Saccharomyces cerevisiae S288C: one gene and its partners. Changing the gene in region 1 together with any one later gene gives a genetic interaction. Each region holds a gene or a part of one and is shown in the gene's direction. Other genes may lie near its edges.

Region 1 (6,735 bases):
CAAAATTGAATGAGATAAGTACTGTGCACATTGAATGAGTTCCTGTTTCATGGTTAGAATACGCACATATTTATTTTCTTTTTTTTCTTTTCGACGACAGGCTGAATGAAAGAAAGAAAATAAAGATACTCTGGCATGCGAAAATAAGTGAAAAATAAATCGGCTATAATGCGTAAGCTACTGTGGGAAGCAGAAGCAAGACCTAAACGTTTGGTGAGGCAGTATAATATACCATAGTTATAGGGGGATAAAACAAAAGTAGGCATGGAACCTAAGCGAAAGAGCGGGTCACTAGCCAAGCATGATTTGCCGCAATTTTATCTTTTAATTATGTTATATTTGGCTCAAGGCATACCTGTAGGATTGGCCTTCGGTACCGTACCGTTTCTACTGAAATCTTTAGCAAAGGAGACCTCGTTTACATCACTGGGAATTTTCTCTATGGCTACATATCCATATTCTTTAAAGATCATATGGTCACCAATAGTAGACTCACTGTACAACAAGCGCATCGGTAGAAGAAGATCATGGATCATTCCAGTACAATTTGTTAGTGGATTTGTGCTATGGGCATTAGGGTGGTGCATATCACAAGGCATAATCTTCGATGGTGTCGACGATGCGTTCCATAATCGCGGTAATGGCACTTTACACAGTGTCAGTATAAAAAATTTGACGTGGTGGTTTGGCCTGTTAGTTTTTCTGTGTGCCACTCAAGACATCGCAGTTGATGGTTGGGCGTTGACGATTTTGTCCAAAGAATCCCTATCATATGCATCTACCGCGCAAACAATAGGTTTGAATATTGGTTATTTTATGTCATTTACCATTTTCCTGTCGTTGAATTCCTCTGATTTCGCCAATAAGTATTTCAGAAACATCCCACTGGATCACGGGTTCATTAGTCTTGGTGGGTACATGAAATTCTCGGGCATGCTTTACATTGTAATAACCATATATATCATCTTTTGCACCAAGGAAAAACCCTACGTAGAGTATTTGCCCAAAGTGGAGCCCATAAATACAAGTGACGGAGGGTCAAAGCCGATAAGTATTGAGTATGACGACGGTGATGTGGTGTCAACTCAGAATACAAGCAGTATAAAGTACATTTACCGCTGCTTTATAAAAGTGTTGAAATTGAAGTCCGTAAGAAGCCTAGCCTTCATTCACATGATTTCGAAATTTGCCTTTCAATGCAACGAAGCCGCCACAAACCTGAAACTACTAGAGCAAGGCTTCAAAAGAGAAGACTTGGCTGTGACAGTACTCATAGACCTGCCGTTCGAAATCATATTTGGGTACTATGTTGTTAAATGGAGCTCCGACAAGGACCCCATGATTCGTGACAATAGAAGATTAAGAAACAGCACGGGCACCAACAAGGTCATCAAGTTCTTAGTTGGGGATGCCGGCGTTTTAACACCATGGTTGTGGGGCTTTTTGGGCCGTCTGGCAGCCGCGGTCTTGGGAAGTTACGTGGTGAAGCAATTCCCCAAGGATGGTGAAATATCCACGGGTTATTTTTGTCTCGTGATATTCCAGCACCTCTTAGGTTCCTTCATGAATACTGTCCAGTTCATTGGAATATCGGCCTTCCATACAAGAGTTGCAGACCCCGTGCTGGGTGGCACATATATGACATTGTTAAATACCCTCAGCAACTTCGGTGGGACATGGCCGCGGTTAATCATTATGTCCATGATCAACTACTTCACCGTGTATCAGTGCACTATTCCTGGCACAAATAAAGTATACGTAACTCACGGCGGCAGCATGCAAGCGTGCACCGAGCTTTTGAATGGCACCGTGACCATCCTGCGTGACGGCTATTACATCACCAATCTCATATGTATTGTAGTCGGACTTTTCCTATATTTTGGATATTTGAAAAGGAAAATCCTCCATTTACAAAGTCTGCCAATCAGTTCCTGGAGATGTACGTAACGACCCCTCAAACAAGAATTGTACGACATTACGTTCAAGAAAATTTTAACGAGTATCGTAATATTTACAAGATCTTTTTATGTACTACAGGAAGCAGAAACAAAATGAGTATCAATACCAGTGTAAATCTGTTAATGAGAATCATCACATTATCCCAGTTTTTTCCATGCAAGGGAAAAATATACTATACGACATTTCTATACTTTAATTATCAATTAAGGTCATCTTTCTGTACGAAAACTAACCACGATTGTCACTAACGACGTGTCCCTTACCCGACGCAGCTGCTGATAGCGTACCGCACAGGCACAGCCAGCTCTTCTGTGATTGGCAGAGAGGGGTCCTTCCTGCGGAAGACGCCGCAAAGGCACATATGACTAACCTTTTTTTTTTCGCAATTAATTTTCTAATAGTTTTTCATTTTTTTTTTACAATTTTGGCAGTTACGTCTCGAGCTATTTATTATAAGAGTCAGAATTGGCGCAGGGAGTGTTAAGTAAGAAGTACTCCCCATCGGATATTTCCTATTGTGTTTCTGTGATTTTTAGTCCTTTTTTCTTTTCTCTTACTTTCGGTATCCTTACTTGATTACATACATAAACAAGCCCCTCTTTTCTTCCAAACTCTTGTAGCTTACTATCTGTGGCCCGTCATTTGAGTTTGATTTTTTTGCCAATTACTATATTGCAAAATAAAGGACAGTTACTAGGAGAGAAAATAAGGGACATAGAGAACAAAATAAAATATGAGCAGTAGCAAGAAATTGGCCGGTCTTAGGGACAATTTCAGTTTGCTCGGCGAAAAGAATAAGATCTTGGTCGCCAATAGAGGTGAAATTCCGATTAGAATTTTTAGATCTGCTCATGAGCTGTCTATGAGAACCATCGCCATATACTCCCATGAGGACCGTCTTTCAATGCACAGGTTGAAGGCGGACGAAGCGTATGTTATCGGGGAGGAGGGCCAGTATACACCTGTGGGTGCTTACTTGGCAATGGACGAGATCATCGAAATTGCAAAGAAGCATAAGGTGGATTTCATCCATCCAGGTTATGGGTTCTTGTCTGAAAATTCGGAATTTGCCGACAAAGTAGTGAAGGCCGGTATCACTTGGATCGGCCCTCCAGCTGAAGTTATTGACTCTGTGGGTGACAAAGTCTCTGCCAGACACTTGGCAGCAAGAGCTAACGTTCCTACCGTTCCCGGTACTCCAGGACCTATCGAAACTGTGCAAGAGGCACTTGACTTCGTTAATGAATACGGCTACCCGGTGATCATTAAGGCCGCCTTTGGTGGTGGTGGTAGAGGTATGAGAGTCGTTAGAGAAGGTGACGACGTGGCAGATGCCTTTCAACGTGCTACCTCCGAAGCCCGTACTGCCTTCGGTAATGGTACCTGCTTTGTGGAAAGATTCTTGGACAAGCCAAAGCATATTGAAGTTCAATTGTTGGCTGATAACCACGGAAACGTGGTTCATCTTTTCGAAAGAGACTGTTCTGTGCAAAGAAGACACCAAAAAGTTGTCGAAGTCGCTCCAGCAAAGACTTTGCCCCGTGAAGTTCGTGACGCTATTTTGACAGATGCTGTTAAATTAGCTAAGGTATGTGGTTACAGAAACGCAGGTACCGCCGAATTCTTGGTTGACAACCAAAACAGACACTATTTCATTGAAATTAATCCAAGAATTCAAGTGGAGCATACCATCACTGAAGAAATCACCGGTATTGACATTGTTTCTGCCCAAATCCAGATTGCCGCAGGTGCCACTTTGACTCAACTAGGTCTATTACAGGATAAAATCACCACCCGTGGGTTTTCCATCCAATGTCGTATTACCACTGAAGATCCCTCTAAGAATTTCCAACCGGATACCGGTCGCCTGGAGGTCTATCGTTCTGCCGGTGGTAATGGTGTGAGATTGGACGGTGGTAACGCTTATGCAGGTGCTACTATCTCGCCTCACTACGACTCAATGCTGGTCAAATGTTCATGCTCTGGTTCTACTTATGAAATCGTCCGTAGGAAGATGATTCGTGCCCTGATCGAATTCAGAATCAGAGGTGTTAAGACCAACATTCCCTTCCTATTGACTCTTTTGACCAATCCAGTTTTTATTGAGGGTACATACTGGACGACTTTTATTGACGACACCCCACAACTGTTCCAAATGGTATCGTCACAAAACAGAGCGCAAAAACTGTTACACTATTTGGCAGACTTGGCAGTTAACGGTTCTTCTATTAAGGGTCAAATTGGCTTGCCAAAACTAAAATCAAATCCAAGTGTCCCCCATTTGCACGATGCTCAGGGCAATGTCATCAACGTTACAAAGTCTGCACCACCATCCGGATGGAGACAAGTGCTACTGGAAAAGGGACCATCTGAATTTGCCAAGCAAGTCAGACAGTTCAATGGTACTCTACTGATGGACACCACCTGGAGAGACGCTCATCAATCTCTACTTGCAACAAGAGTCAGAACCCACGATTTGGCTACAATCGCTCCAACAACCGCACATGCCCTTGCAGGTGCTTTCGCTTTAGAATGTTGGGGTGGTGCTACATTCGACGTTGCAATGAGATTCTTGCATGAGGATCCATGGGAACGTCTGAGAAAATTAAGATCTCTGGTGCCTAATATTCCATTCCAAATGTTATTACGTGGTGCCAACGGTGTGGCTTACTCTTCATTACCTGACAATGCTATTGACCATTTTGTCAAGCAAGCCAAGGATAATGGTGTTGATATATTTAGAGTTTTTGATGCCTTGAATGATTTAGAACAATTAAAAGTTGGTGTGAATGCTGTCAAGAAGGCCGGTGGTGTTGTCGAAGCTACTGTTTGTTACTCTGGTGACATGCTTCAGCCAGGTAAGAAATACAACTTAGACTACTACCTAGAAGTTGTTGAAAAAATAGTTCAAATGGGTACACATATCTTGGGTATTAAGGATATGGCAGGTACTATGAAACCGGCCGCTGCCAAATTATTAATTGGCTCCCTAAGAACCAGATATCCGGATTTACCAATTCATGTTCACAGTCATGACTCCGCAGGTACTGCTGTTGCGTCTATGACTGCATGTGCCCTAGCAGGTGCTGATGTTGTCGATGTAGCTATCAATTCAATGTCGGGCTTAACTTCCCAACCATCAATTAATGCACTGTTGGCTTCATTAGAAGGTAACATTGATACTGGGATTAACGTTGAGCATGTTCGTGAATTAGATGCATACTGGGCCGAAATGAGACTGTTGTATTCTTGTTTCGAGGCCGACTTGAAGGGACCAGATCCAGAAGTTTACCAACATGAAATCCCAGGTGGTCAATTGACTAACTTGTTATTCCAAGCTCAACAACTGGGTCTTGGTGAACAATGGGCTGAAACTAAAAGAGCTTACAGAGAAGCCAATTACCTACTGGGAGATATTGTTAAAGTTACCCCAACTTCTAAGGTTGTCGGTGATTTAGCTCAATTCATGGTTTCTAACAAACTGACTTCCGACGATATTAGACGTTTAGCTAATTCTTTGGACTTTCCTGACTCTGTTATGGACTTTTTTGAAGGTTTAATTGGTCAACCATACGGTGGGTTCCCAGAACCATTAAGATCTGATGTATTGAGAAACAAGAGAAGAAAGTTGACGTGCCGTCCAGGTTTAGAATTAGAACCATTTGATCTCGAAAAAATTAGAGAAGACTTGCAGAACAGATTCGGTGATATTGATGAATGCGATGTTGCTTCTTACAATATGTATCCAAGGGTCTATGAAGATTTCCAAAAGATCAGAGAAACATACGGTGATTTATCAGTTCTACCAACCAAAAATTTCCTAGCACCAGCAGAACCTGATGAAGAAATCGAAGTCACCATCGAACAAGGTAAGACTTTGATTATCAAATTGCAAGCTGTTGGTGACTTAAATAAGAAAACTGGGCAAAGAGAAGTGTATTTTGAATTGAACGGTGAATTAAGAAAGATCAGAGTTGCAGACAAGTCACAAAACATACAATCTGTTGCTAAACCAAAGGCTGATGTCCACGATACTCACCAAATCGGTGCACCAATGGCTGGTGTTATCATAGAAGTTAAAGTACATAAAGGGTCTTTGGTGAAAAAGGGCGAATCGATTGCTGTTTTGAGTGCCATGAAAATGGAAATGGTTGTCTCTTCACCAGCAGATGGTCAAGTTAAAGACGTTTTCATTAAGGATGGTGAAAGTGTTGACGCATCAGATTTGTTGGTTGTCCTAGAAGAAGAAACCCTACCCCCATCCCAAAAAAAGTAATTTTTACTCGTTAATTATATTTTATGACATCTGAAAATACTAGCTGTACTATATATGGCGTATATTTTATCTAGTTATGTTCCCATGTATATTTAAATGCCAAATAGAAAGTAATCAAACACTTTCGATGAAATACGTGCTAACTGTGTTTCTTCCTTAATGCTTTCACTTACCATGTCTCCATTCTCCATTTTCTTCTTGAGTGAAAATGTGAGTTTATAACGCTCAAGTACGTTAACTACTCTATTTAATATCGTACGGGATTTTTGATCGACTGTAGGTTTTCTTCTTAGACCATTCCAGCGCCCGGGTATTTAACCAAACGCTACGGATGCACAATAACTTACAATAAGCTCATCATTAGTCTTGAATTGCATCCAAAGTTCACCAATATTTTGCTGCGGACTTGGCGCAAACGAATTATTTATATAACAATAAACATGGTCCATTTTCAGCCGTCTCTTAAGAAATAAAATAACCATTGCAAAAGACTGTGACAT
Region 2 (4,226 bases), on another chromosome or scaffold:
TTGTTGTTGATGATAATACCCGCTACTCTCAACTAAACACTGAACAAATCAACTTCTTGGAAAATGAGGCTAAGGATATAATTTCAAAAAAGTCGAAATCATGGTGTTGGTACGAAGCAATTCCACATATATCAAATTCATCAAACATAATTGATTCCATAGATACCCCAGGAATAATCAGTGTCTCTGGTACAGGATCAGCCAAATGCCCATTGCCATTAAACAAATATCCTGGGGAGGGAGGTAACCCTGGGTATAATGTATTTATTAATGATTCTTTAATCCTACCATCAGATAACCCTTTGAATTTTCTGCACGTCCAACCACTAAGAACTAAGGTATTGAATACTATCAAAAATTACTATAACTTCCCTAATGAGCAACATCTCTATTTAAGACAAAAAAAAACCGCATTACTGAAGGATAAGAGAATTATTATAATATCCGTCGTGGGGGATTTACCAGAAAAGTATGAGCAGCGCTCATTAGAATCACAAAGATCGGCTTATTATCTTTCTAGAAAATTGTCACAAAATCTAGCGCAAGAACAACCTCAAAGAGTCTTGACCCTATCGTTCCAGTGCCCACTGCATAATCAAGATTTAATACCTACATATAAAGAATGTGTAGAGTTACTGAACCACTGGGCTCATCTTTTCAAAGAGGTAGATTCAATTTTTTTTGTGGGCGTTTATCACAGCGTTCCCTTAACTTTGCTATTAGCGAAATATATCGTGCAAAATAATGAAGTTCTAGAGTTTGATGAAAACACTACAGTGAGTGTATTGAGTTTCCAGTCATGTTTACAAGGCTATCGATTTTGGGACCACAGCACTGACTTTACTAGCAATAGTTATAATAACTTGGGTTCCAATTCCAGTACTAACGAAAATGATAGTAATGATCATGATTCAAATAATGATTTCACAACGAAGAGCCAACAAATCAAAGAAAAACAGTTATTTCAGGGCATTGACAAAAAGCAACAAGACACATTATCTAAAATCAAAAATTATAGGCGGATAGATTCTAGTGAATCTAAACTAGTTCAGGATGCATTGGATTGGCTCTTGTTCAATTGGGATACGTTTCGACTGACATTTTTTGGTAAGCTTTATGATAATTTTATGACAATTTCAGAAAAACTTGCTATAGATTATAATCACCCTAAAATCTTGAGAAATTTATGGTGCAATGGGAAGTACATGGGCATTGATTTAAAGAATGCTAATAATTTAAACCTTGATACCGATGATGAAGCAACTAGTAACATTAATGACGTCCATGTAAGGACCCCTAATTTTGAATCGAGATTGAAGATTCCCACCAACAGACTTTTCGAAATAACCTTATGGGATATTTTGATGATAACGGAGAATTTAGGATATAAACAATTTATTCCCATAATTAATTTACTAAGTCCTTTTTTTATTTCAAGGTCATTTAATGATTACACATTGCCTCCAAATATTAGGAAACAGTACCAGAACAGCAACAAAATCTGGCTTCAAGAAATGGACAGTAAGTGGAAAATGAATGGTCATCAACTCAATTACGACCAAAGGGAGGGTGAAAGTCTCGGTTCATCATCGGAATCATTATTGCCAGAGAATATTTCTACGGTAAAGGATTTTTTGCAGTTTGTGCAGTATCAAAACGAAAAATCTTCGGATTTCGTAAGGATATATTCAGACATTTATGATGACGATAAAGTCTATAAATGCTTTCTGTACAATACAATATTCACGAAAAACCCATTAAGTCGTAAGCATTTACGTTTAAACATCGACCTCGACACTCCTACAAGCATATTGAATACTGTCAATCAATATGATTTGGTATGGAAAATTCATGATTCCTTCTCCAAATTGATTCAATTGAAAAATTTACCGCAGCGAGAGATACCACATGCGTTGAGGCTCTCCATCTCATTAAACTGCTTCTTGGATAGTACCACGAGTACTTCTGGCCCTGTTTTTCAGAGGGACACCGTGGAAGCTTTGAGAAGATTAACAGAGATTTGGCGAACTTACCAGGATTGGTCTCCACCAACAAGGGGTTTGAAACACCTACGTGATATCCTGAGCGTTTTAGCCATGTATGACAACCCCAAAAACTTGATTAATGATGTTCGACGTACATAGTAGATTCGTATATAGCGGACCGCGTAACATATTATGGTATTTGTATAGTGGGTAACCCGCAGAGTAGGCTGGAAAGTATTCGTGAAGAACATAAAGGAAGCTGGCAGAAGTTCTTTTCATACACCTCTACTTCCAGAAGCCATAATAGCAGCAACGCTGTTTCTGCAATATAACTTGTGGAAGGTCTATAATAGGAAGAACATGTCTTTCACTGAGGATCAAGAAAAAATCGCGCTAGAAATACTGTCAAAAGACAAGCATGAGTTTTACGAAATTTTGAAGGTAGATAGGAAAGCCACAGATAGTGAGATCAAGAAGGCATACAGAAAACTAGCAATCAAATTGCATCCTGATAAAAACTCTCATCCAAAAGCGGGAGAAGCTTTCAAAGTAATTAATAGGGCATTTGAAGTACTAAGCAATGAGGAAAAGCGCAGTATTTATGACAGGATAGGTAGGGATCCTGACGATAGACAAATGCCATCCAGAGGTGCTGCTTCAGGGTTCCGAGGAAGTGCAGGTGGGTCTCCAATGGGTGGCGGATTTGAAGACATGTTTTTCAATTCACGTTTCGGTGGTCAAAGAGCTGGACCACCAGAGGACATATTCGACTTTTTGTTCAACGCAGGCGGCAGCCCATTCGGCGCTTCACCATTTGGGCCTTCTGCTTCCACTTTTTCATTTGGAGGCCCCGGTGGTTTCAGAGTTTATACTAATAATCGTGGTGGCTCACCGTTCATGCGTCAACAACCCCGCTCAAGACAGCAGCAACAACAAGCAGAAGAAAATGCAGTGAATTCGCAATTAAAAAATATGCTCGTTCTTTTCATCATCTTTATTGTTCTTCCTATGATTAAAGATTACCTGTTTAGTTAAACACAATATTTTTACTGTCATTTTTTTATTATTTTCCAACGTTAGTCAAAGTTGTACTATAAAATAAAACTACAAGGAGCAAGCAAAATTGAAAAAACGCATTTGTATACTAGATGACATTTAGGTCATTCCTTCAGGCTTCCTGGCTATGTTTTATTTTGTTCCACAGTTTACCAGAAGGACATAATGGTATTAGAATTTTAATATATCGAGGAAATTAAATCAGACAGTATAATACTTATAAACATCTTTATTTTCTGATAACTAATCATAGCATTTACGCCATACATTTACTTTTTCTTTTGACACCGAAAGTAATCAAGCCACTTTTATAATTAGAGTTAGTTTATAGATAGTATTTAAAATTTGTGAAGATTTCCCATGCGTTGTGCCTTGCTTTCTCTCAAAATACATCTTGTTAATTTTCTAATGTGTGGATGCCGAAATAATATTCGACTCAACAAATCAAGTAAGTCTTCTAAGCTCGCTACTAATTTCCAATAAAAGGTATATATATAAAAATGTTCTCAATAATGTAATTAAACAAGATCACGAGAATTACTCCAGATCCTTTAGCCTTGCCTGAATAATCTGGTTCACATCTTCATCTTCCACATTCCTCGATGGAAGCTTCAGTTTCTTCGTCAGTTTAGTAGTTATATTGCCGCCAATACTGTCTTTACTGCTTTGTGTTTTCAAGGATGGTCGCTTGATTAACTTGCCACTAGGTAATACCTCGTATCGTTCAGAGCTCTTTTTAGAAGAGTTTCCAAAGAAATTTTTTTTTGAGGAATGGTCTACATTCCCATTTGACATTGAATATATGCTGCTGTTATGAGTTTTTGCACTTGCACGTGAATTAGTTCTTGGCCTTGAAAGAACTTTGTCTGTGTACCTTGTGAAAGTACTGGGATCTTTATCCCACGTCCATCCTTGCCTCATTTCGCTATAGGCTCCTAGTTCCAGCTTCTTTCTGATATCACTTTTTTGTTCCAGCTCAGCAAAAATATCAGAATCTGATGGCCATATCATAACTTTGAATGTTTTGTAAACTATATCTAAAGTGATAGGTAACAGTGCCAACACCAAGCTAGTACACCAGAATGTAATGTCTTTACCAAAATGATTGTAAAAGCCATATGCTACATCATATATTTGGTCAGTATTATTCAAAATAGGAAGGGCACAACACCACACTAACCAACC
Region 3 (4,791 bases), on another chromosome or scaffold:
GGGCAAGTCCATCTTTTGGCCAGGCTGTTTGGATGCTGCCAACTCCGGCATATTGTTCAGCGGGTTTATTCTATCGTTATCTCCCTGCATAACGGGGCACTCAGAGGATGGTGGCGACGACGACGACGACTCGTGCATGACTGGGCACCCTGACATGGATGATACTGCTGCCCCACCAATATCTTTGCCCGTAGTTTTTTGATCTGCCCAAAACCAACCCATTTTTTGTAGTTTCTGTTGTATTTGCTCTGCTTTATTCGTGCTACTCGTATGTGTATGCTATCTTATTAGCTGCCTATTTCATTTCTCTTAGTATTCGCATTTAAAGCTGAGAAATTTTTTGATAATCATTTCCCGATGAAAAGAAAAAAGGGAAAAAGTCGATAAAAAGAGGTAAGCGAAAAGAAAAAGAAAAAATAGAAAATTTGGGTGGGGGGGGCGGAAGATCCCACGCCGCGCAAGAGATATTTCAATATTACTACTACATAGTATATGCGGCGCTACCATACGTACAACTTTTTTTTCTTTTTTTTTTTTTTTGCCTTCTAAATTTGTAATTCGGTCACACTTTTGTCGCAGTGTTGCAAACGTCTTGAAAGAATTGTAGGTGTTGTAAACCACAACTTGCTCCCTTGAAAGCGTTGCTGATTATTTCCTTTGAACCTGTTGCATTGTTGTATTGTTGTATTGCTGCTGATGTTTTAGGCACTTAGTATTAGATATTCCTAAGCCTCCCTCACCATAAATTACCTTTATTACTTGCATGACTATTATTAGCAGAGCATGTAGTATGGGACTCAAGACCGATATGATACACACCAAAGACGTAGGCACCGGCGATTAAATCAAAGGCTCCGATAGCCGAAAAGTGAGAAGAAAAAAAAAGGAAAAAAAGGAATTGTCCTAATGAGCGGTGTGGCCGACTTGCCATAATATCAGTTAGGGCTACTATCAATGTTTTATCTACGTTGGAGTAAGATCGTTTATCACTTCCATATTTGGACCAAATGAAAAGTTCAATCGGCCAAGTATTTCATGGATGGAATGACGTTTGGTAAGGAAGTGCTTTTTCTTTTTCCACATATTTTCCCTTTCTCTCGGGGAAATTTTGTTTCTAAACATAAAAAATAAAGCAACAGCAAAAAAGAGGGTCTGTCCAGCGAATAAGAAGAAAACCTCCTTTTCGGCTTTTGAAGATAGGTTGCAGTTGTCTGCGGGCACAAAATGGGCAATTTTTTTAATACTTTTTACGTATGAGACAAGATTTTTTTCGCCAATTATATCGCATGAAGAATAACCAGAGTTTTTCTCCGAACGTTAAGGGAGTTGAAGTAAAAATAAAGAAAGGACCAAATGAGAATGGGTATGCTTGGTCTTAGTCTTCGAATCAAATTCTGCTTCCCTGTTCATGGCAACGTCACCTCAATTATTTGGAAAGGGGGGGTTTTCCGACTTTATTTGAGATGACTTGAGATGTGTGTCAATGCTAGTATTTTGGAGATTAATCTCAGTACAAAACAATATTAAAAAGAGGTGAATTATTTTTCCCCCCTTATTTTTTTTTTGTTAGAATTGATCCAAATGTAAATAAACAATCACAAGGAAAAAAAAAAAAAAAAAAAAAATAGCCGCCATGACCCCGGATCGTCGGTTGTGATACGGTCAGGGTAGCGCCCTGGTCAAACTTCAGAACTAAAAAAATAATAAGGAAGAAAAAAATAGCTAATTTTTCCGGCAGAAAGATTTTCGCTACCCGAAAGTTTTTCCGGCAAGCTAAATGGAAAAAGGAAAGATTATTGAAAGAGAAAGAAAGAAAAAAAAAAAATGTACACCCAGACATCGGGCTTCCACAATTTCGGCTCTATTGTTTTCCATCTCTCGCAACGGCGGGATTCCTCTATGGCGTGTGATGTCTGTATCTGTTACTTAATCCAGAAACTGGCACTTGACCCAACTCTGCCACGTGGGTCGTTTTGCCATCGACAGATTGGGAGATTTTCATAGTAGAATTCAGCATGATAGCTACGTAAATGTGTTCCGCACCGTCACAAAGTGTTTTCTACTGTTCTTTCTTCTTTCGTTCATTCAGTTGAGTTGAGTGAGTGCTTTGTTCAATGGATCTTAGCTAAAATGCATATTTTTTCTCTTGGTAAATGAATGCTTGTGATGTCTTCCAAGTGATTTCCTTTCCTTCCCATATGATGCTAGGTACCTTTAGTGTCTTCCTAAAAAAAAAAAAAGGCTCGCCATCAAAACGATATTCGTTGGCTTTTTTTTCTGAATTATAAATACTCTTTGGTAACTTTTCATTTCCAAGAACCTCTTTTTTCCAGTTATATCATGGTCCCCTTTCAAAGTTATTCTCTACTCTTTTTCATATTCATTCTTTTTCATCCTTTGGTTTTTTATTCTTAACTTGTTTATTATTCTCTCTTGTTTCTATTTACAAGACACCAATCAAAACAAATAAAACATCATCACAATGTCTAGATTAGAAAGATTGACCTCATTAAACGTTGTTGCTGGTTCTGACTTGAGAAGAACCTCCATCATTGGTACCATCGGTCCAAAGACCAACAACCCAGAAACCTTGGTTGCTTTGAGAAAGGCTGGTTTGAACATTGTCCGTATGAACTTCTCTCACGGTTCTTACGAATACCACAAGTCTGTCATTGACAACGCCAGAAAGTCCGAAGAATTGTACCCAGGTAGACCATTGGCCATTGCTTTGGACACCAAGGGTCCAGAAATCAGAACTGGTACCACCACCAACGATGTTGACTACCCAATCCCACCAAACCACGAAATGATCTTCACCACCGATGACAAGTACGCTAAGGCTTGTGACGACAAGATCATGTACGTTGACTACAAGAACATCACCAAGGTCATCTCCGCTGGTAGAATCATCTACGTTGATGATGGTGTTTTGTCTTTCCAAGTTTTGGAAGTCGTTGACGACAAGACTTTGAAGGTCAAGGCTTTGAACGCCGGTAAGATCTGTTCCCACAAGGGTGTCAACTTACCAGGTACCGATGTCGATTTGCCAGCTTTGTCTGAAAAGGACAAGGAAGATTTGAGATTCGGTGTCAAGAACGGTGTCCACATGGTCTTCGCTTCTTTCATCAGAACCGCCAACGATGTTTTGACCATCAGAGAAGTCTTGGGTGAACAAGGTAAGGACGTCAAGATCATTGTCAAGATTGAAAACCAACAAGGTGTTAACAACTTCGACGAAATCTTGAAGGTCACTGACGGTGTTATGGTTGCCAGAGGTGACTTGGGTATTGAAATCCCAGCCCCAGAAGTCTTGGCTGTCCAAAAGAAATTGATTGCTAAGTCTAACTTGGCTGGTAAGCCAGTTATCTGTGCTACCCAAATGTTGGAATCCATGACTTACAACCCAAGACCAACCAGAGCTGAAGTTTCCGATGTCGGTAACGCTATCTTGGATGGTGCTGACTGTGTTATGTTGTCTGGTGAAACCGCCAAGGGTAACTACCCAATCAACGCCGTTACCACTATGGCTGAAACCGCTGTCATTGCTGAACAAGCTATCGCTTACTTGCCAAACTACGATGACATGAGAAACTGTACTCCAAAGCCAACCTCCACCACCGAAACCGTCGCTGCCTCCGCTGTCGCTGCTGTTTTCGAACAAAAGGCCAAGGCTATCATTGTCTTGTCCACTTCCGGTACCACCCCAAGATTGGTTTCCAAGTACAGACCAAACTGTCCAATCATCTTGGTTACCAGATGCCCAAGAGCTGCTAGATTCTCTCACTTGTACAGAGGTGTCTTCCCATTCGTTTTCGAAAAGGAACCTGTCTCTGACTGGACTGATGATGTTGAAGCCCGTATCAACTTCGGTATTGAAAAGGCTAAGGAATTCGGTATCTTGAAGAAGGGTGACACTTACGTTTCCATCCAAGGTTTCAAGGCCGGTGCTGGTCACTCCAACACTTTGCAAGTCTCTACCGTTTAAAAAAAGAATCATGATTGAATGAAGATATTATTTTTTTGAATTATATTTTTTAAATTTTATATAAAGACATGGTTTTTCTTTTCAACTCAAATAAAGATTTATAAGTTACTTAAATAACATACATTTTATAAGGTATTCTATAAAAAGAGTATTATGTTATTGTTAACCTTTTTGTCTCCAATTGTCGTCATAACGATGAGGTGTTGCATTTTTGGAAACGAGATTGACATAGAGTCAAAATTTGCTAAATTTGATCCCTCCCATCGCAAGATAATCTTCCCTCAAGGTTATCATGATTATCAGGATGGCGAAAGGATACGCTAAAAATTCAATAAAAAATTCAATATAATTTTCGTTTCCCAAGAACTAACTTGGAAGGTTATACATGGGTACATAAATGCAGATGCCAGTGAACTATGTTCAGCTTCTGGCCTTCGTTTGGTGGTTTAATCTATTTTTTATAAAAAATGACGCGGGCAGATTCAATTAGTGTCCTAAATTTATTCGCGTTTCAAGATTTCAAAGGATTGATCCTCTTATCAGAAACGATAAGTGCTACTCCGTCCTATTCTTCTAGCCATCTAGTACGTATTCTTTTCATAACATAATCCCTTATTTACAGAATGTGTTTCGAAGAAAAATTAATTAGATGGGAAGAAAACTGAAGTGGCTTATATAATCAGTGACATAGTGCCAATAATTACGCAAAAAGCAAAGGAAATAACACTGCTATGGATATGGAAATCGAAGATTCAAGCCCCATAGATGACCTGAAGTTACAAAAACTGGATACCAATGTTTATTTT
Region 4 (4,358 bases), on another chromosome or scaffold:
GAAAACTATGAATAAATCTAGACATTCTTACCAAGAACAGTTCTCCTCGAAGAAAAGCCAGTCATCTTTACTGAACAGCAAGCAAAGATCACGTGCTAAATCGCAAACATGCTCGTCTACGGGTTATAACAACAGCAGCATTCTGAAAACGTTTGGCATAAGCTCCAAAATTTCTAATTCAAGTGATCGGATAGAGGCTTCGTCATTAGAATTTAACGTTCCATCTCAGAAACCTTTGAATTGCAAGCCATTAACTCCGTCTCAGAAATACAGACTTCGTAAAGAGCAATCGGAGATGAATTTAAGAAATACAATCAAAAGAAAAGAGAAATTTTATGATAGTCAAGAACAAATTCTTGAGTTACAAGAGGGAGACGTTGATGATTCGTTGATTTGGAACGTTCCTATGGCATCATTATCTACTAATTCATTTCTAGCGTCTGCTAAGCCCGATGATATGAATAACTTGGCTGGCAAGAATGACTTATCAGAATATACCGGAGGTTTGGTAAATGATAACTCTGAAATTTCTTATACAAAACAAAATCATAGGTACTCGAACATCTCTTTTGCGAGTACAACATCAAACGCCTCATTATTGGACTTTAATGAGATGCCTACGTCTCCGATTCCAGGTTTGAACAAAGTAACTGATTTTCAGTTCATTCAAGACACAACCAAGAGTCTAGCCTCTGTTTATTTGCATTCTTCCAATAGGCTTTCAAGATCTAAGCTGTCCGAAAGAACAAAGTCTTCCGATTTCTTGCCAATTGAACTAAAAGAAGCTCAAAATCAAGGCATGGAAGATTTGATACTTGTCTCGGAGAACAAACTAGATGTGGTCAGCCATTCAAGACCGAGTTGGTTACCACCCAAGGATCGCCAGGAAAAAAAGCTTCATGAAAGGCAAATTAACAAAAGCATGAGTGTTGCTTCCCTTGACCAACTAGGAAAAAATAAAGACAGAGAAGAAAAGTTGATTAGAGATGAAACAAATAGGCAAAAATATGTGTTATTATTGGACAGAGATATAACTAGAAACTCCTCCTTACAAAGCCTAAGTAAAATGGTTTGGGACACTCCATTTAGTGACGAAACTAGGTCAACAATTTACAGCGAAATTTTACAGAGCAAGACTAGGTTTATTACCAAAAACTATATTCAACCATTTCATGAGCTACAGGAGCTTTTAACAAAAATGGGAGACTTTCCTAAAAACAAGGAAATTGAAATATCGCAGCTAATCGAAACAAGTTTGAGGCGAAAAGTGAGCGGTTTACATGATATATGTCCTGATTTGATGCTTTTATTGAAGATAAAATCTATCTCATCACAGGGTATAGTCACCGGTGATGAACTCCTTTTCCATCATTTCTTGGTGAGTGAATCATTTCAGAACCTGGGGCTAAACGAGATTTGGAATATTGTTAATTTAGTACAAATGACGTGTTTTAATGATCTTTGTAAAGAAAAGTTCGATGCAAAGGTTTTAGAACGTAAGGGTGTCGTAGCCGGTTATTTATCGCAAAACGAGGAGTTCAAGGATGAATTTAATACGGAGTGTATAAACTCTACCACCTGGTGGAACATCCTAGAACGTATTGATCATAAGCTTTTTATGTGGATCATGGATATTATAGTAGTCAACAATTCCCAGAGCTACAAAAATAGCCCAATCAACGAAGATGAGTTTGTTAACAAGGATTGGGAATATTACCGCTCGAAGAAAGTGGTAATAAACTACAAGATCTTGATTTCATTTGCATTAAATGTATTGTTAAATTACCACTTTGGATTCACTGATTTAAGAAGTCTTTGTAACGTGAATGACCAGAGATTTTGCATTCCAGTATTCATCAATGATGAATTCGTAGACGCAGATACTGTAAATGCCGTGTTCATCAAGAAATGGGCGCATTACTACAAGAAGTTTTGATATTTTTTGTAACTGTAATTTCACTCATGCACAAGAAAAAAAAAACTGGATTAAAAGGGAGCCCAAGGAAAACTCCTCAGCATATATTTAGAAGTCTCCTCAGCATATAGTTGTTTGTTTTCTTTACACATTCACTGTTTAATAAAACTTTTATAATATTTCATTATCGGAACTCTAGATTCTATACTTGTTTCCCAATTGTTGCTGGTAGTAAACGTATACGTCATAAAAGGGAAAAGCCACATGCGGAAGAATTTTATGGAAAAAAAAAAAACCTCGAAGTTACTACTTCTAGGGGGCCTATCAAGTAAATTACTCCTGGTACACTGAAGTATATAAGGGATATAGAAGCAAATAGTTGTCAGTGCAATCCTTCAAGACGATTGGGAAAATACTGTAATATAAATCGTAAAGGAAAATTGGAAATTTTTTAAAGATGTCTTCACTGGTTACTCTTAATAACGGTCTGAAAATGCCCCTAGTCGGCTTAGGGTGCTGGAAAATTGACAAAAAAGTCTGTGCGAATCAAATTTATGAAGCTATCAAATTAGGCTACCGTTTATTCGATGGTGCTTGCGACTACGGCAACGAAAAGGAAGTTGGTGAAGGTATCAGGAAAGCCATCTCCGAAGGTCTTGTTTCTAGAAAGGATATATTTGTTGTTTCAAAGTTATGGAACAATTTTCACCATCCTGATCATGTAAAATTAGCTTTAAAGAAGACCTTAAGCGATATGGGACTTGATTATTTAGACCTGTATTATATTCACTTCCCAATCGCCTTCAAATATGTTCCATTTGAAGAGAAATACCCTCCAGGATTCTATACGGGCGCAGATGACGAGAAGAAAGGTCACATCACCGAAGCACATGTACCAATCATAGATACGTACCGGGCTCTGGAAGAATGTGTTGATGAAGGCTTGATTAAGTCTATTGGTGTTTCCAACTTTCAGGGAAGCTTGATTCAAGATTTATTACGTGGTTGTAGAATCAAGCCCGTGGCTTTGCAAATTGAACACCATCCTTATTTGACTCAAGAACACCTAGTTGAGTTTTGTAAATTACACGATATCCAAGTAGTTGCTTACTCCTCCTTCGGTCCTCAATCATTCATTGAGATGGACTTACAGTTGGCAAAAACCACGCCAACTCTGTTCGAGAATGATGTAATCAAGAAGGTCTCACAAAACCATCCAGGCAGTACCACTTCCCAAGTATTGCTTAGATGGGCAACTCAGAGAGGCATTGCCGTCATTCCAAAATCTTCCAAGAAGGAAAGGTTACTTGGCAACCTAGAAATCGAAAAAAAGTTCACTTTAACGGAGCAAGAATTGAAGGATATTTCTGCACTAAATGCCAACATCAGATTTAATGATCCATGGACCTGGTTGGATGGTAAATTCCCCACTTTTGCCTGATCCAGCCAGTAAAATCCATACTCAACGACGATATGAACAAATTTCCCTCATTCCGATGCTGTATATGTGTATAAATTTTTACATGCTCTTCTGTTTAGACACAGAACAGCTTTAAATAAAATGTTGGATATACTTTTTCTGCCTGTGGTGTCATCCACGCTTTTAATTCATCTCTTGTATGGTTGACAATTTGGCTATTTTTTAACAGAACCCAACGGTAATTGAAATTAAAAGGGAAACGAGTGGGGGCGATGAGTGAGTGATACTAAAATAGACACCAAGAGAGCAAAGCGGTCCCAAAATCATTTGAGTAACCGGATATCTATCGGGATATTAATAGCAGCTTCCATTTCAACTAAAACAACAGCAAGATATGAGCGACAAGATATCCTTTCTACCTCCCGAACCCATCCAACTACTTGACGAAGACTCCACGGAGCCTGAACTCGACATTGACTCACAACAAGAAAATGAGGGACCCATCAGTGCGTCAAACAGCAATGATAGCACTAGCCATAGTAATGATTGCGGTGCCACAATTACCAGAACAAGACCTAGACGAAGCAGTTCTATCAATGCAAACTTTAGTTTTCAAAAGGCTCATGTCAGCGATTGCACCATAGTCAATGGCGACCATGGAACAAAGTTTGCTGTCTGGAGAATTACCGTATTTCTTGAACCCAACTTGAAGGCTTTTGCGGCCAAGAGGGAAAGCTATAAAATCCAAACCTATAAACGATACTCCGATTTCGTCAGATTACGAGAGAATTTGCTCACAAGAATCAAGACAGCGAAACCTGAGAAACTTAACTGTTTGCAGATTCCACACCTTCCCCCTTCAGTGCAGTGGTACAGTTCTTGGAAATATCAAGAAGTGAATCTGAACAAGGACTGGCTGGCAAAAAGACAGAGAGGGCTCGAGTACTTCCTCAATCACATCATCCTTAACAGCAGCCTCGTAGAAATGACCAAAGATATACTCATACAGTTTCTAGAGCCTTC

What was found.
Region 2: mutations in PYC2 (region 1) and HLJ1 together harm fitness more than expected from each alone (negative genetic interaction), as found in Saccharomyces cerevisiae (2 studies listed by BioGRID).
Region 3: mutations in PYC2 (region 1) and CDC19 are lethal when combined (synthetic lethality), as found in Saccharomyces cerevisiae (2 studies listed by BioGRID, with this or other methods).
Region 4: mutations in PYC2 (region 1) and GRE3 together harm fitness more than expected from each alone (negative genetic interaction), as found in Saccharomyces cerevisiae (2 studies listed by BioGRID).

Annotation. Positions count from the first base shown.
Region 1 is NC_001134.8:658,207-664,941, reverse strand, and holds PYC2 (pyruvate carboxylase 2), read left to right. Parts: upstream 1-2,692; coding exon 2,693-6,235; downstream 6,236-6,735. Other genes in the region: YBR220C (uncharacterized protein), read left to right, coding at 265-1,947; YBR219C (uncharacterized protein), read left to right, coding at 1,639-1,939, 2,361-2,443; ATG12 (Atg12p), read right to left, coding at 6,550-6,735. UniProt on the Saccharomyces cerevisiae protein: Pyruvate carboxylase catalyzes a 2-step reaction, involving the ATP-dependent carboxylation of the covalently attached biotin in the first step and the transfer of the carboxyl group to pyruvate in the second.
Region 2 is NC_001145.3:575,373-579,598, forward strand, and holds HLJ1 (type I HSP40 co-chaperone HLJ1), read left to right. Parts: upstream 1-2,345; coding exon 2,346-3,020; downstream 3,021-4,226. Other genes in the region: CVM1 (Cvm1p), read left to right, coding at 1-2,144; aminophospholipid-translocating P4-type ATPase DNF3, read right to left, coding at 3,579-4,226.
Region 3 is NC_001133.9:69,304-74,094, forward strand, and holds CDC19 (pyruvate kinase CDC19), read left to right. Parts: upstream 1-2,482; coding exon 2,483-3,985; downstream 3,986-4,791. Other genes in the region: holocytochrome c synthase CYC3, read right to left, coding at 1-222; YAL037C-A (uncharacterized protein), read right to left, coding at 4,123-4,215; YAL037W (uncharacterized protein), read left to right, coding at 4,717-4,791.
Region 4 is NC_001140.6:321,037-325,394, forward strand, and holds GRE3 (trifunctional aldehyde reductase/xylose reductase/glucose 1-dehydrogenase (NADP(+))), read left to right. Parts: upstream 1-2,372; coding exon 2,373-3,356; downstream 3,357-4,358. Other genes in the region: SBE22 (Sbe22p), read left to right, coding at 1-1,936; YPT35 (Ypt35p), read left to right, coding at 3,730-4,358. UniProt on the Saccharomyces cerevisiae protein: Aldose reductase with a broad substrate specificity. Reduces the cytotoxic compound methylglyoxal (MG) to acetol and (R)-lactaldehyde under stress conditions.